Linked DNA regions of Tamandua tetradactyla. The main gene of each other region encodes a partner of the protein of the gene in region 2 in a complex. Links are inferred from orthologs where the notes say so. Each region holds a gene or a part of one and is shown on either strand. Other genes may lie near its edges.

Region 1 (7,385 bases), on a different chromosome or scaffold from region 2:
TGTGATTCAATATTAAGGAATCTTTCACTTAAGTGACTTAGATTATCTCACTTTTAAAAAAATGTCTGACTTTATATAGGTTTTTTTTTTTTTTTTTACTATTCACCTAATTTTAATTGTTATATAGCCAAACATATCATTTCAAAATTCTAAATTTGGGATCTGTCTCTTGCTCAGAGAGTAATATTCCCCACTCTGAATATTACAGAATACATTTTCCATATTATAGACTCTTATGGTTTCATAGTTGAGTGGCTTTGGAATTCAACAGATACATTTTTAGTATCTTGGAAATGTTGATGTGGCTCTTTTCCATCATCTATTAATACAGTGAACTCTATGAATAGATTTCCTAATTTTGAATCATCTCTGCAGTCCCGGTCTGAGTTCTCAAATCTGGTATTGGCATTGAGTTCTTTGAAGCTTCTGTCTTGTTCTATTGGTCAATTCTGGGGTATTGCACTGTCGCTTACAAATGAGATCAGATCTTTGTTGTCTTTTCTTTTTCCTCTCCTAAATGTAATGGAGTTAAGCAGGTTTCCATATCAACATAAGGGTGAGTGTTTGCATTTATTTTCCCGCTTTAATGAAAAGGAAAACAGCTCCATTGAGGGAGATGGTGCCAAGGGGTCTTGCTAAAGCAAGACCCCAGCAGTGTGGCAGTAGATTTCCCCAACTACTCCTTGAGGGGCAATATGAGTGCAATATCTGAGCACAAAGTTTGTAGGTGTCAGATCTGGCGCCTTTGTGAAATGGTCTCTCTCTTCTTGGAGCATTCAGAGTACAGTGTGTGGAAGTGCTGAAACTGAAGCAAACCTAACAAAAACAAAGTAAAACAACAACTAAAAAAAACCTCCAACGGTTTCCAAAACTCTTTTCCTTTATTTCAACACAGTCAGACTCCCAGAAAAATTGCAAGAATGGTACACTGAATTCCTGAGTGCTCGCTTTATTAGCTACACCAATTGGATCACCTCTGCTTTGTTTTCTCTCTTTTTCTTTTTCTGAACCATCTGAGTGTCAAGTTTCAGACATTATGTTCCTTCACGTGTGCTACATAGTTCAGCATCTACTTCTATAACTGAGGACATTTTCTTACATCACTTTAGCATAATGAGGAAATTAACATTCAAACAATCCTGTTCACCAATTGGCAGATTTTTTTCAGTCTTCTGCAATTGTCCAAATTATCTTTCACTGCAAAGGAAACCCAGGATCAACTTTGATCACTTGATGAATGTAGCATCTCCTAGGTTTCTCCACTGTGAAGTGACAATTTTCTCCTTCCCTTTGTTATTGACAAGTACCTTGAGAGTGATGTAAACATCCCGTTCCCCTCAAAGTTTTCCTCATTAGTTTCAAGCATCCACTGAGGGGTATTGCATGAATCAATGAATATACACATTGCTAAAGGTGATTTTCTACTTCTACAGCCATGGTTTTAATAAAGGCAGAAGATGGTCTTGAAGTTCCAATTTTTAGATGCTTTCATTTTTGCAAAAGAAACAATGAGTGGTTGGGGGGAGTGATGATGTCTTAATTTTCTCCCAGCAAGTCACAGCTGAAATGATTCTTTTGATTTTATTTCCAGCATGGAAGTCCTGCATCAATCTTTCGGGCTTTTTTAGTACATGCTACCCGGCCAGAATTGTGGCAGTCTTTGGGTTTCCTGTGGGAGCAGATTTGCACAAGGAAAGAAGGGGACTGGTATTGAGGCAGCCTACAATTCTTGATACCTGGTCTGCAGCTGCCTCCTCCATGTTCTCCCTGGGTCCACTCTTGCCCCAGTGAAGACAATGAGATATTATTGGAAAGAAAATTTGATTATGTCAACCTTATGTGTAAAACCGTCCCCAAGGGGGTGAAATGTAACACACTCTTTACATGGCATATATGAAGTTTTGTCCCTTCTAGTACCTGCCTACCATTCCAGCATCTTCTCTTCCCTTTCTGTGCTCCAGCTATAGTGCTTGGCTTATTTGCTAGACTGTCTGCTCTGTCTCCACTGGGCACTTGCACATGCTGTTCCCTGTGCCCAAAACACTTTTCCAGGTAGCAAATGATTGGCTTTTCTCATCACTTTTGGCTGGCTCCTTCTCATCTGCAGATTTCAGCTGAAATATCACTTTCTCATGGAATCTTTCTCTGAGTGAAGACTCCCCACTCCCACGAAAACGCATAATTGTTTAATTAATGCTCTCTTACTAAACTGTGAGGTCTACAAGGAAATGGACTATAATTTTGTTCACTGGCAATCCCGCTTACTTATTATTTGTTGATTCTTCCTTTCAAGAAATATTGATTAGGCGGGCCGCGGTGGCTCAGCGGGCAAAGTGCTTGCCTGCTATGCCGGAGGACCTCGGTTCGATTCCCGGCCCCAGCCCATGTAACAAAAACGGAGAAACAGAATACAATAAAACAAGAAAATGTTTAAAAGATGTTTCCCTTCCTTCCTTCCTTCCTTCCTTCTATCCTTCCCTCCTTCTCTCTGTCTTTCCTTTAAAAAAAAAAAAAAAAAAAAAAAAAAAAAAAAGAAATATTGATTAATCAACAGATATGTCGGGCACTAGGGGTGGAGGTGGCAGTAAAAAAAAAAAAAAAAAATGGCGGGGGGAGAAGATATACCAAACAATAAATAAGAATGCCAGGTAGAGATAACCAGCCATGAAAATAACAGGGGAAGGGAACAGAGAGATGAGGGTGAAGGGAGCATTTGCAGCGCGTAGTCAGGGCATGCTCTCTGGAGCAGAGATGTGGAGCACCTGGGAAAGCGTTATAGAAGAAGCAGCCTGGCAAGGAGATGTGACGTTGGCATTTGGGAATAACTGTGGGCCCAGCCATTGACAAATTAATATTTGTTTAATAAACGACGGGAAGAATGAATGTCCTGGGCCTAGGGTTGGGCTGGGTGCTTCCCCTTGTGTCTCGGCTAACTTGGCATGCAGGTATCCACAAACCCATCATACCAGACCCAGAGATTGTCCCCCGTCCGAGGTCTCCCATTGCATGAAGGGGTGAGCCGGATTCCCAGTCTGCTTGGGCTTTCCTATCTGCAAGCCGACCTCCCTCTCCTTCAGGAGGGTGGGTTGGCCATTGCCTTGTCCCCTCGGTGAAAAACCTTGCGAAACACTCAGATACACATGGACTTCGGGTCTGCATGTTGAAAATTGGGGGTGTCCACCTGCGTCCTTGTCTGGGGCCTTTAGGCACCCGGACTGTTGTGTTAGGAGCCTACACACATTGTCCCAGGTGTCATTTGTCCAACTTGAGTCATAGGTGTCCAACTTGAGCCAGAGGCCGCGCCGAGGCGCAGGGGACACGGAGTACGCGGAGCGCACGGGGCGCGCAGGCACGTGGCCGTCCCCTGGGGCCTGCCGGGGCATCCGCCGCGGGGCAGGGGGGCGCGCGAGGCCTGCAGTCCCGAGCGCCCTACTGCGCAGGTTGCAGGAGCCGGGGGTGGATTTGGGGCACACGAGCGCGCAGGGACAAGCGTCGCGCGGGCGGGCGCAACGAGGGAGGTGCTCGCTTGGGCTGCACAATTTAAGGGAGTGACCAAAACAAAAAACAAAAACGAGTAACAGAGACAAATGGGATTTAATGCACTGCTGAAAAAACCAAAAAAAAAAAAAAAAAAAAAATCCACGCTTTTAAAGAAAGACAGCATCCGAGGGGCACCTCCCCCCCGCTCCCCTTCCTGCCCACACTTTGTCCCTGGAATCTCTGGGCCGTGGGGGGCGCCGAGGCTGGAGCAGGGTGCGGGGGGTGGGTCAGGGCGCCCTCTCGGTTGGGGCGCGCCCGGGCCCTGCCGCGCGGGGCCCCGAAGAGGGCGGGCTGCCGGGGGCGGGCCAGGGCGGGGCGGGCCGGGCCCTCCCCCTTCGCGGCCTCCGCCCCCCTCTCCCGGGCGCCCCGTCCCTTCCGCGGCCGGATCCGCGCCGCCTTTTCCCGCGGCCCGCACGGGGCCCAGCTGACGGCCGCGTTGTTTACGGGCCCCGAGCAGCCCTCGCTCCCGCCGTCCGCCAGCCCAGGTGCCCGCCCGCGCGTCCCTCTGTCCGTCCGCGCGTCCGCCGACGGCGGGGCCCAGAACGCTCTTGGCCGAAGGTGCCGCGTGGAAGTCCGCGCCCCGAGAACCCCCCAGCCCCACCCCGAGCGCGGGGCCGGGACCCGAGTGGCCTGGAGGGCGGGGAGCCGGGGCGCCTGGTCTTCGGAGCGGCCGAGGCCCGCGCTCGCCCCTCCCGGGGCGGTTTCCAGGGCCCTCCCGGGGCGGGTGCCGCTGCCCGCGGGCCGCCGGCGTGGGAGAGAAGGACGCGCGGGCCCCGGCGCCTCCCGGGCGGGCCGTCTCGGAGCATGCACCCCGCGGGCCGGCGCCGCGCGCTCTGAACCGCAGCAGGACCCCGCGCTCCCGCGGCGATGGGCGCAGGGGCCGGGCGGGGATCGGCGGGCGCGCCGCTGCTGCTGGCCGTGGCCGCGCTGCTGCTGGGCGCCGCGGGCCACCTGTATCCCGGAGACGGTGAGTCTGGGGGCGCCGGGGCGGGCGGAGGGGCCCTCACCGCCCCCAAAGGAGCCGCCCCCGCGGGGCACCGGGTGTCCCCGGGGGCGGGGGACGCGCGGGTGGCCCGGACGGCCCCGCGGGGGGCTGGAGGCCGCTGACCTTGGCCTTCGCCCGCCTGGGCTCGCGGCCCCGCGCCCCGCTGTTGCGAGCCCTGCTGGGGAGGCACCTTCCCCCAGTGCCCGCCCCGCCGTGGGCGCCTCTCCCCAGCGCACACCTCGGACCCGAGCCTGGCCCCCCTGCTTGCCCAAGGCGCCCGGGAGGCTGGACGCGCCGCGTCTTCGGGTGGCCCCGACCCCTCGGGGTCACAGGGTTTGGGCGGCCTCGGACGGCCGAGTGTTTTGAGTTTGGAGCCAAATCCCGGGGTGCCGGGCCGGGAGGTCCCTTGGGGTCCCCGCTGGTGGGTGTCACTGCCCGAGGCGGGGGTGGGGGAATTAATTGGAGGACTTTCCCTTTCTCACTTCCTAGAGTCTGGGCCGGTGGCTACATTTTACAGGTCCCTAGTTACACTTTTGGGTTCTAGTTACACTCCTTCCAGATGTGAGGAGGCAAATTCTAAGAACCGGCTGCAGTTGCAACAGGAGTAGTGGCAGTTTTTATCAAGATTCTTCTAATTAGTATCACCCTATGCCACGGGCTGGCCCATCTTATCTCTCTGGACCCTCACGGTGGCCCCTGGAGACTGATAACTGTTGTTCTCAGAGTAGGAACCTGGGCTGGGACTCGAACCCCTCTCTGCCAGCTTCCCTCCCAAGGCTGGGGACTCTTTCCCCACCACCCATGTCTCCCCCAACTCCTCCCGCCCCCAGATCTACCCCTCATAAAGGGCTCTCTACCTGCAGTCTTTTTTGGGGGGGAGGGAAATCTCTGGCCTTGGGTGAGCCTCTCACACCCCCCTCCAGGTGTCCCTATGCCTGGAGCAGACAGAAGCAACCCCAGCCCCAGTATCCTTCTCATGCCTGATATTGTCTACTTTTTGAGACTGGGACTGAAGAATCATTTGAGGACATAAATCTAATTTCCCACCATGGGGTCTGAAGCCCTGCTTTAAAAATATCTGAGGTTGCTTCAGATTTTTCCATAAAAGGAAATTGATCATGGATGAAGAAGGGGTCTGGGAGGGAAGGAACAGAAGAATCTCCTAAGTGTACTCGGTGTTGAATGAGGTGGATGAGAAAGCATAGGCTTTGGAGTTGGCCAACCAGGTTTGTTGAGCAGCTCTGCCACTTAATGTCTGGGAGTCCCCAAAGGTCAGGGATGCAGTAGGTGCTCAGTGAAGGGTGGCAGTTGGTTTGAGTTCTTGGTACGAAAAATCCAAGATGAGTTGTTAAACCCATGCCAGGCTTCTCGCGGGCATGCATAATGTGCACAGCCTGCATATGTGTGGTTCCCTACTCTTCTGTTCCTTGCAGTTGTTCTGTGCCTTGGGCTTCCAGGGGTCAGCTGCTTATGTATTTACAGCTTCCATGGGGATCCACTGGGGCAGGGGCTTTTGTCTGTTTCATCTGTGCCCGGCGCGTGGTAGATGTTCAGTAAATATTTATTCCTCAGTGGGACTAGGCACAGTGCGAAGCTCCTTTGTAGTTGGGTTGAGGAGCTCCTTCTCCTCCTGGTTATACTAACTACCAGTTCTAAGAGTAAGCACATGCAAGGCACAGTGCTCCATGCTTTGCATGTATAATCTCAGTCAATTCTCACTGCTGCTGGTGAGGTAAGGTTTTTCATTCCCTTGTGGGGATGATTTGCTGAGAACCACTGAAAAAGCAAGTGGCAGAGCCACGATTAGAACTCAGACTGGTCCGGCCCCAGGGCATGGGTTTCTTAACTAACGGCTGTTCTTTCCTTAACTAGTTCCTGTTGTGGGTCCAAGCCTCCCCCACTTCTGCCCTGGGATAATGTTGAACAAAACATTATTCTTTCAAATAAACGAGAGCTGAACCCCCTTGAAAGCTTGGGTGGGTGAGGGGGGGGGGCAAGAAACTTTCCAGAGCATTAATTTCTAAAGTCGGCCAAGATGACATTTTGACTGGGGTGGGGCAGATCACCCAATCTAATGTGATTTTTAAGGAAGGAAGGACTCTTTCTCAGAGGTGTCAGTGGAACTGCAGCGCCCCAGGTTTTCCGAGGAGTTGTTGCTGCACTGAGCTGGGTGGTGGCTTTTTTTCCGCTATTGCCATTTGGATTGGATGGTTCTAACCAAGATTACTTGCCAGCATTGCAGGAAGAGAATTAAGAATTAAGAAGTCTTAACTAAGAGAATTAAGATTTAAGAGAATTAAGGTGCCATGGTATTGATTAAAGTGAAAACCTTCAGAGCTTTCCATAGTAATCGAGGTGTGAGACGCTTGTTTCTCAGATACTCCTCACTTCTCAGCTACTCTGTAATGAGGGACCGTCATGAGCTGCTTCTCTTGGGTGTTTGGTAGTGAAAGATGTTCCGGGACATCCCCTGCACCCTTGGAGTGGTTATTCCAGATCTTTGCTTCACTCCTGGAGACCTTCCACTGTCTCCTGCCCCACTCACTCATAGAGACCATGGGGACGCTTCCTAAGGTCCCTGTGTTGATTTCCATGTCCTCTTCAGTTGGAGTAGGATTTCTCAGCCTAATATTCTTGACATTTAGGACCAGATAATTCTTAGTCGTGGGGTGGGTGGCAGAGGGGGCTGTCCAGTGCATTGTAGGGTGTGGACCAGCCTCCCTGGCCTCTATCCATTAGATGCCAGCAGCACCAACGCCTATCCCCAGCCTTTACAATAAAAAATGTCTCCAAACATTGCCAGATGTCCTCCCGAGGGGTGGAAGGCAAAATTGTCCCAAGTCAAGAGCCCCCCTGCATT
Region 2 (6,959 bases):
ACACCATAAGTATAAAACAAACAAAACAAAATCAATCCCAAGTGGATCACTGACTTAAATATGAAAGGCAAAGTAACAGATTTCTGGAAAAATAGGGAACGACTTCTAAGCAGGATATAAAAAATATAATCATAAAAAATAGGCAAATTTAGCTACATTAAAATGAAGAACTTCTGTTTATCAAATGAGACCATTACGATATCAAAAGAGTAGGCCACAGAATGGGAGGAGATAACTTTAAAAATATAAAATCTATGAAGAGTTAGGTGTCAGAATACAAAAGAAACTCATGTAAATGAATAAGAGAGAAAAAGAACAACTTCTCAAAAAATGGGCAAGAGACTTTAATTGGTACTTTCAAAAGAGGATGTCCAAACGGTAGATAACTAACCACATTAAAGTGCTTCATTAGTTACCAGAAGTCAACGTCCACAGTGAGACATAACCGTACCCTCACCGGAACGTCTAATGTGAAAACTGTGATAATATCCCAACTGACAAGAATGGGAAGAAGCGGGACATGGGCAACGCTGCTGGCAGTGAAAACTGGTACCATCAATTTGGGAAACTGGCAGAATCTAGTAAAGCTGAACATACACACACCATGACCTCACACTGCTATTCTAGGTATCTACCTGACAAAAATATGTGCATATGTGTACCAAGAGACGCACACAAGAATGCTCATTGCAGCATCACTTATAGTATAAGAACGTTCATTGCAGCATTACTTATAATAGTCAGAAGGGGGAAACAATCAAGATATTTACCTATTATAGAACAGACAGGCTGTGGTATTTACATACAACAGAAGAATGAAAGAACTACAGCTACCTGGAAGAGCACAGAAGAATATTACAAATAAGATGTAAAGGGAACCAAGTCAAGCACAAATCAAGAGTTCCTCTACATAAAAGTCAAAACGAGACAAACTAATCTATTGCATTTCCACATAGATATTTAGATGGTTCCGCTATAAATAAAAACAAGGAATCAGTTATTGTGACCATCTGGTTTGGGGGTGAAGCAAGGGAGGGGCTTCTGGAGGGCTGACAATATTCTACTTCATGACCTGACATCAGTGTTTGCCTTGTGATAAAGTTGTTGTTCACGGTTTTTTTGTGAACTGCTTTTCTGTACGTGTGTTATCTTTCCTGAAATTTGATTAAGAAATTTGATTTGATGAGCAAAGGCAGAGGAAAGCAAGGAGAGCCCATTTTCCATGAAGGGTGGGGAGGCTGGGATCTCTGGAGGAGGAAATAGAAGAGGGAGTGCAAGGAGACACAAAAGGCCCATGGTGTGGGGGAAGGGCCAGGAGACAAGCTACTTCCTTTATTATTTCACAGACTCAACTCAAAAAGGACAGCAGCCACTCACAGGAGGATCTGCTCTTTGCTACCAAGATATCTGCCCTCTCATAGCTTCAGAAACCCTTGACAGGTATGAAAAGGGAAATCTCCTTTTTAACTTCCCTTCTGATAGAAAACTCTGGCAGTATTCTGAACCTTTTATTACTGCATTAGTTTTAAAAATCTAGAATCATTTCTTGAAAACCTCTTGGATATGAAAACTAGTTATTTTGTTGGCTTGCTTCAAAAATGTGAAGGAGCTAATTCTAATAATACTAGGTTCAGATCCTCCAGGTATTACTGGGAGTAAATTCAATATTTAATGCCAATTTCCAAATCAAAATTATTAATGTTCTTGTTCCTTAGAGACCTATTTCCCTCCCTCCTTTGCCCCCCCTCTGTTGACTACAGGATTTATAATTTTTACCAGTGAGGATTAGAGGAGGAGCATAAAGTTTACAAATGGCTACTCCCTGGATCTTCCCTAACTGGGAGGAAGTAATTTGAATGCCTGGATAGGGGAGGCCAGTTAAGATCTCATTCCTAGCAATGAATATTCTTTTATTGGGGCAAAAAATTATACTGAAAACTGGAGCAAGATACAGTATTGGGGCATGGTGTTTCCAGGTTCCAGAGATATACGGGGTTTCTGCCTATCTTCTCTCCAACAACAAAAAAAAGAGCTGCTGTGTTGTGTGTGTGTGTGTGTGAGAGAGAGAGAGAGAGAGAGAGAGAAAGGGGGGGGGGGAGAGAGAGAAAGAGGGACAGGGAGAGGGAGAGGGAGAGGGACAGAGAAAGACGAAAGTGTTGTTGAGGGGCAGGAGGGAAAACTATCTTAATTAGAGAGGAGAAATGACTGCCTACAGAAGACTTCTGGATGAAAATAAGGATGATGATGATGATGATAGTGATAAAGTTTATTTTTTTTGTTGTTTCTTTAGTTCCAGTTATCTGCAAATACGTAGCTCCTTTTTATTTTTATGGAATGACAGTTTATCTGTGTGCTTTTACATTAAATTCATTTAAAACTCACACATATAATTCAGGCTATAACTCAGGGGATGGGATGTGAGGGCTTTGCCTGGCACCAGTGTCAATAGATGTTAGCTATCATTCATTAGTATGACTATTTTTACCACTTAGGTGAGCCATCCTGCCACTCTTTTGCCTTGGATGCGCCATTGCATTGGGTAAAGTTCCTGGAGACCACACTTACCATGTTACCCAGGCCAGATGTGACCTTTTCTGGGCATCAATTTTGCCGTCAGGAAAATGAAGGACTTGGGCTCATTAAATGCTTTGACTTAAAAGATTTTCTGTGCTCATCAAGTACTCCAAGGTTTCTTCACAGGGTGGAAGTTAGTGATCCCTAGTTGTCAGCACTTCATGGTTCCAAGGCAGGAGGTTCCAAGGCGGGAGGTTCCAAGGCGGGAGGATATAGGGTCGGGGTAAGGAGTTGTACATTTCTGGGGAGGCAGTGTTTGCCTTTCCCTGGGCAGAGGTTGTGGAGGTGAAGCAGATGCCAGGGGCAGATGCTACCTAATTTGGTCAAAGAACAAAGAGTGTGTAAAACATTTGGAAATCTTTCGACACACTGGGATAGGGGCACTTGTGAGAAGAGGAGAAACAAAACTATCCTGGATTTCAGAGTAGGACTCAGTGTCTCTCAGAGGGTGAGGATAATTTTATTACAATTTCAAATTTCTAGGTTTTTGAGAAGGAAGTCTCTGGGTTGGAATTTTGACGGTACCAGTTACTAGCTTTGTTGCGCAAAGTCCTCGATGGCTTTGAGCCTCAGTTTCCTTATCAGTAAAATGGTATAAACATCAAATTTAGAGGGCCGTTGTGAGGATGTAAAAGGACAAAGTCCTTACTAAAAAGAAAATGGATAATCTTCCGAATTCCAAAGACATCTTCAGGTTTACTCACGCTTTAATCAAAATTTTCAAATTGTCGGTAGTTTTCTAAAACGATGTACTCCCTGCTTCCTCTCAGACCCTCAGCCCCCATCTTCGGCCGCGGTGCGAATAGAAGAGGTGGCACGTGGGGAAGGACGGGGGCAAACCTGGCCCCCTGGCCCGGTGAGGCCTGTCATGGCGGCCCGGAGACACCTTGGTGATCTCAAATAGGAGAGCAGGAGGAATGGAAGGGCCTGGGGGTCTGCGCTGCCGAGACCCCCGCCCCGCCTGCGGTCCGCCAGGCAAGCCCGGCAGGAGCACCGCCTCAGCCCGCTCCCTGCCTCCAGCGCCGCGGGGCCCGCCCCCACCGGGTCTCAGCCTCGCGCTCGAGCGCCCACCTAGGGAGGCGGCGGCGGCCCGGGCCTCGGACGCGGGCAGCTGGAGGCCGGAGAGCGGACGAGGGGAAACCCACACCAGCGCCGCCGCGCGCCTCGGGCCACGCGCAGGGCCGACCAGGCGACCGCACGCGCTCCCCGCCCCCTCGGCGCCTCGCCCCGCCGCCGCGGCCCCCACCCACCGGCCGCTCCTCCCCTCTCCCCACCTTCCTCCTCCGCCCCCTCCCCTCCCCCGCCGCCTCGCTGGCTGCTCCGCCGCTCTCCTGAGCCGCCCGGGCCGCGAGCGCAGGCGGCGAGGCCACCGCACCTGCAGAGCGCTCCGGCTGCCTGAGCGGCTCCTCGCCTCCCGCCGCCCGAGCCTCTCTCCCCCCGCGCCGGGTCTCCCATGACGCCCGAGCCCCCCGGCCGGCGATAATGACCACTTCTCTGCAAGATGGGCACAGCGCCGCGAGCAGGGCGGCAGCCGGGGACTCGCCGCTGGCCGCCCAGGTGTGCGGCACTGCCCAGGGGAGGGGCGACGCCCGCGACCTGGCGCCGGCCCCCTGGGTGCACGCGCGGGCGCTCCTGCCCCCTCCGGACGCCACCCGTGGCTGTGCTATGGACAGGTAGGCAGCCCTCGGAGGGCGCGGGGGAGTGTCCTGGGTTGGCAGCCGGCGAAGGGGTGAGGAGGCGGTCCTAGAGGGTGAGCCATGTGCCCAGAGCTGGGCCAAGTTTGTGAAAGTCTCAGAAGACAATTCCCTTTGAGCTGGCTCCTACCAGATCGGCAGGACATTGCGATCTCACGGCGCCTTATAAATAGCATCACCGTTTCATTGAGAGCTCTTGGTCTCTTCGTGTATGCCCATCCGTGTCAACTAGAAGGACAAGCTCCAGGTTGACCTCCACCCCCGGCCTTCCTTCGTGGCCCTAGGTTTTTTGTTTTTTTTTTTTTAATAAACAGTTTTTAAAATTTTATATATGTATTTAAGAATCGTAGCATAATGAGTTCACCTCCCACATAGAGTCTTTCAGCGACCCAGGAGAAGCAAAGCACTGAATTGACATTTGAGCAGGCTTGCTGTTCCTGAAGAAAGAATAGAGGCTTTAAAAGGTTTCCCAGTCTCCACAGCAGTCAGCATTAAGTGCCTTTAGAGTTCATAGTTTTGCACCTACTTTAGGAAAGAAAAAGACTGCAAAAACCCAAAATTCTATGGTCCTTTTTATTCATACGTTTAAATGGTGCAATTCCCTCCCCCTCAACCCCCACCCTACCCTCCGATTTGAAAGTGCTGCAACTTCAATGAAGTTAAAATTACTCTCCAGTGGACTAGAGTACATTTATACTAGCAAGTTCTATTGACTTACCTCTTCAAAAACACTGCCTTGCTGCTTATTATCTATAAGCACTTGAAAAATCAACAGACTGTGTGTGGGCAACATTGTGAATGAAATTTGAAGTGAGATGAACCACAGCTATAATTAATAAGTTATAGCCTCCTAAAGTGTAGCAAAATATCACAGGTATGAATTAACTGAATGTAACATTGATTTTGCCAATTTCGTGGATGCATAACAATTTCTAACTACTCAGGATAATTTTTGCATTAATAATGGTATATTCTACATTTGTACTTCAGGAAGATTATGAAAAGTGCTAGAAATGGGGTTTCCATGTCTAGTGATTTTTTTTTAAATCCCTCACAGAAAAATTAGGAATGCTGTGGATGATTTTTTTGTAGTAATTGGCATTTTAATTTGACCCACAGAAGGTACATCAGGGATCTTTTTTGTATACTTTACATAATATTGGTGTTGTCATAGAGCTGTACATGTTGTCCTTAACACATTTTTAATCCTGACAGCAATTATATTTTACATTCTGTTTTATGTAAATTACATCCTATGTTCTGTTGGTGTAGGAGAAAAAAGAAAGATCTTGATGTTCTGGAAATGCCATCTATTCCAAACCCTTTTCCTGAGCTGTGCTGTTCTCCATTTACGTCTGTATTATCAGCAGGCCTGTTTCACAAAGCAAATTCAATGAAAAAACAGGTATGCATTTTTAAATTTTCTGATTCAAAATCTTTGGAGTTCTAAAGAGCATACAGTTTTCATGATATTCAGTAACTTAAAATAATCACAAAAAATTAACATGGTTTATGTTAAATCTCTCTGTTGACTGATATAGTTCTTTGGCATTATTTTCTTTTTCGGGCCTCAGTTTTTTTATCTGTATGATAGAAATGTTAGAAGTTACCTCTTAGAGTTTTGAGATGGGTTAAAAGAGTGAATATCTGTTAAGTAGGGTGCGTGGAGCTGTTCTTCACAGGTTAGGTGGGAGAATTATATGTTCTAATAGATTATCAATGTTAAGTCAGGAATTGGAAGGGTGGACACTGGTAGTGGAATGAGAAGGGAATTGGTTGATTCTTCAATACTTTCTTTAATCTTTCATATTCTCAACCCAAGCCAACCTTATTTACTAAAGGAAAATGATATAGTGAGTCTGACAAAAGACAGCTGAAATTTCGGAATGGACATGTCTTTATTTCAGTGAATTATTCAATTTGGAGGCGTCTGGCTGCAGAAGGCAGATGACTTCTAAGTGATGATTAGAAGATGGACTTTATTTTTGTGATTTACTTTCTTTTCAAGTTTCTAGTTTGGGACTGACGTAAGCAACAGAGATTTCAAAGAAATGAGGATCACGCGACTATGGGGAGATCCATCATGTTTATGTATTTTGAGAGCAAAAAAATCAGGGTATGCTAGAATGATCCAGCTTTTCTCAGTATAGCCCACCCCCACTCCCCAGCCTCCCCCCGCCACCTGCCCCTGGTTTTAAACCAGTAAAACACAGAGAGGCTTCACTTTATTCTTGCAAGAGTTGAAGCAATAAACAGTCAGATACTTGCAGTGAGGAGGGGATAATGAACACAGATGAGCAAGATAGTTGATCATTTCTCCCCATCTACTGTTCTTTCTTTTTTCTGTAACTTTACGACTTTTTCTGAGATGGATTAAAGAATGTGTGATTATTTTTTTAAGAATGGCAGAAATGCCCCATGGAAAAGATGAATTCTTCATAACATTTGGCAATGATAGAGGCAATAGGAAGCTTTCCATGGAATGTCAGTCTAGTATGGCAAGGCATATATACTTTTCAGGGGAGATTGTAGTCGAATTGGTCTGCGTGTTTTGGATAAGATTGGGAAAGTGGTAATAAATATTCTAGGAACAGGTGTGCTCTCAGTCAGGGTCTGCCATGGGAGGCAAGTCCTGAAATGAGCAGGACTAAGACTTTGCATAGGAGGATGGATGGGGGGAGATTCTCTTGG

The links. Proteins that work in one complex are often made in the same cells at the same time.
Region 1: the proteins of GRB14 (region 2) and INSR are in contact, whole or in part, in a crystal structure (PDB 2AUH), measured with the Homo sapiens proteins. The link is inferred for Tamandua tetradactyla from reciprocal best matches to the Homo sapiens genes GRB14 and INSR. Residues at the interface, in NP_004481.2 of Homo sapiens: Glu373, Asn374, Ser375, Leu376, Val377, Ala378, Met379, Asp380, Phe381, Ser382, Ser386, Val388, Ile389, Glu394, Val398, Ala399, Glu401, Glu402, Gly403, Leu404, Trp406, Arg407; in NP_000199.2 of Homo sapiens: Leu1065, Arg1066, Ile1069, Glu1070, Lys1112, Arg1116, Arg1163, Met1180, Arg1182, Tyr1190, Lys1192, Gly1193, Gly1194, Lys1195, Gly1196, Leu1197, Leu1198, Pro1199, Val1200, Trp1202, Ser1207, Leu1208, Lys1209, Asp1210, Gly1211, Gln1235, Asn1242, Glu1243, Leu1246.

What each region holds. Positions count from the first base shown.
Region 1 is NC_135337.1:83,573,359-83,580,743, reverse strand, and holds the start of INSR (insulin receptor), read left to right. Parts: upstream 1-4,381; 5' UTR 4,382-4,407; coding exon 4,408-4,507; intron 4,508-7,385. UniProt on the Homo sapiens protein: Receptor tyrosine kinase which mediates the pleiotropic actions of insulin.
Region 2 is NC_135329.1:135,773,222-135,780,180, reverse strand, and holds the start of GRB14 (growth factor receptor-bound protein 14), read left to right. Parts: upstream 1-3,948; 5' UTR 3,949-4,056; coding exon 4,057-4,247; intron 4,248-5,540; coding exon 5,541-5,673; intron 5,674-6,959. UniProt on the Homo sapiens protein: Adapter protein which modulates coupling of cell surface receptor kinases with specific signaling pathways. Binds to, and suppresses signals from, the activated insulin receptor (INSR). Potent inhibitor of insulin-stimulated MAPK3 phosphorylation.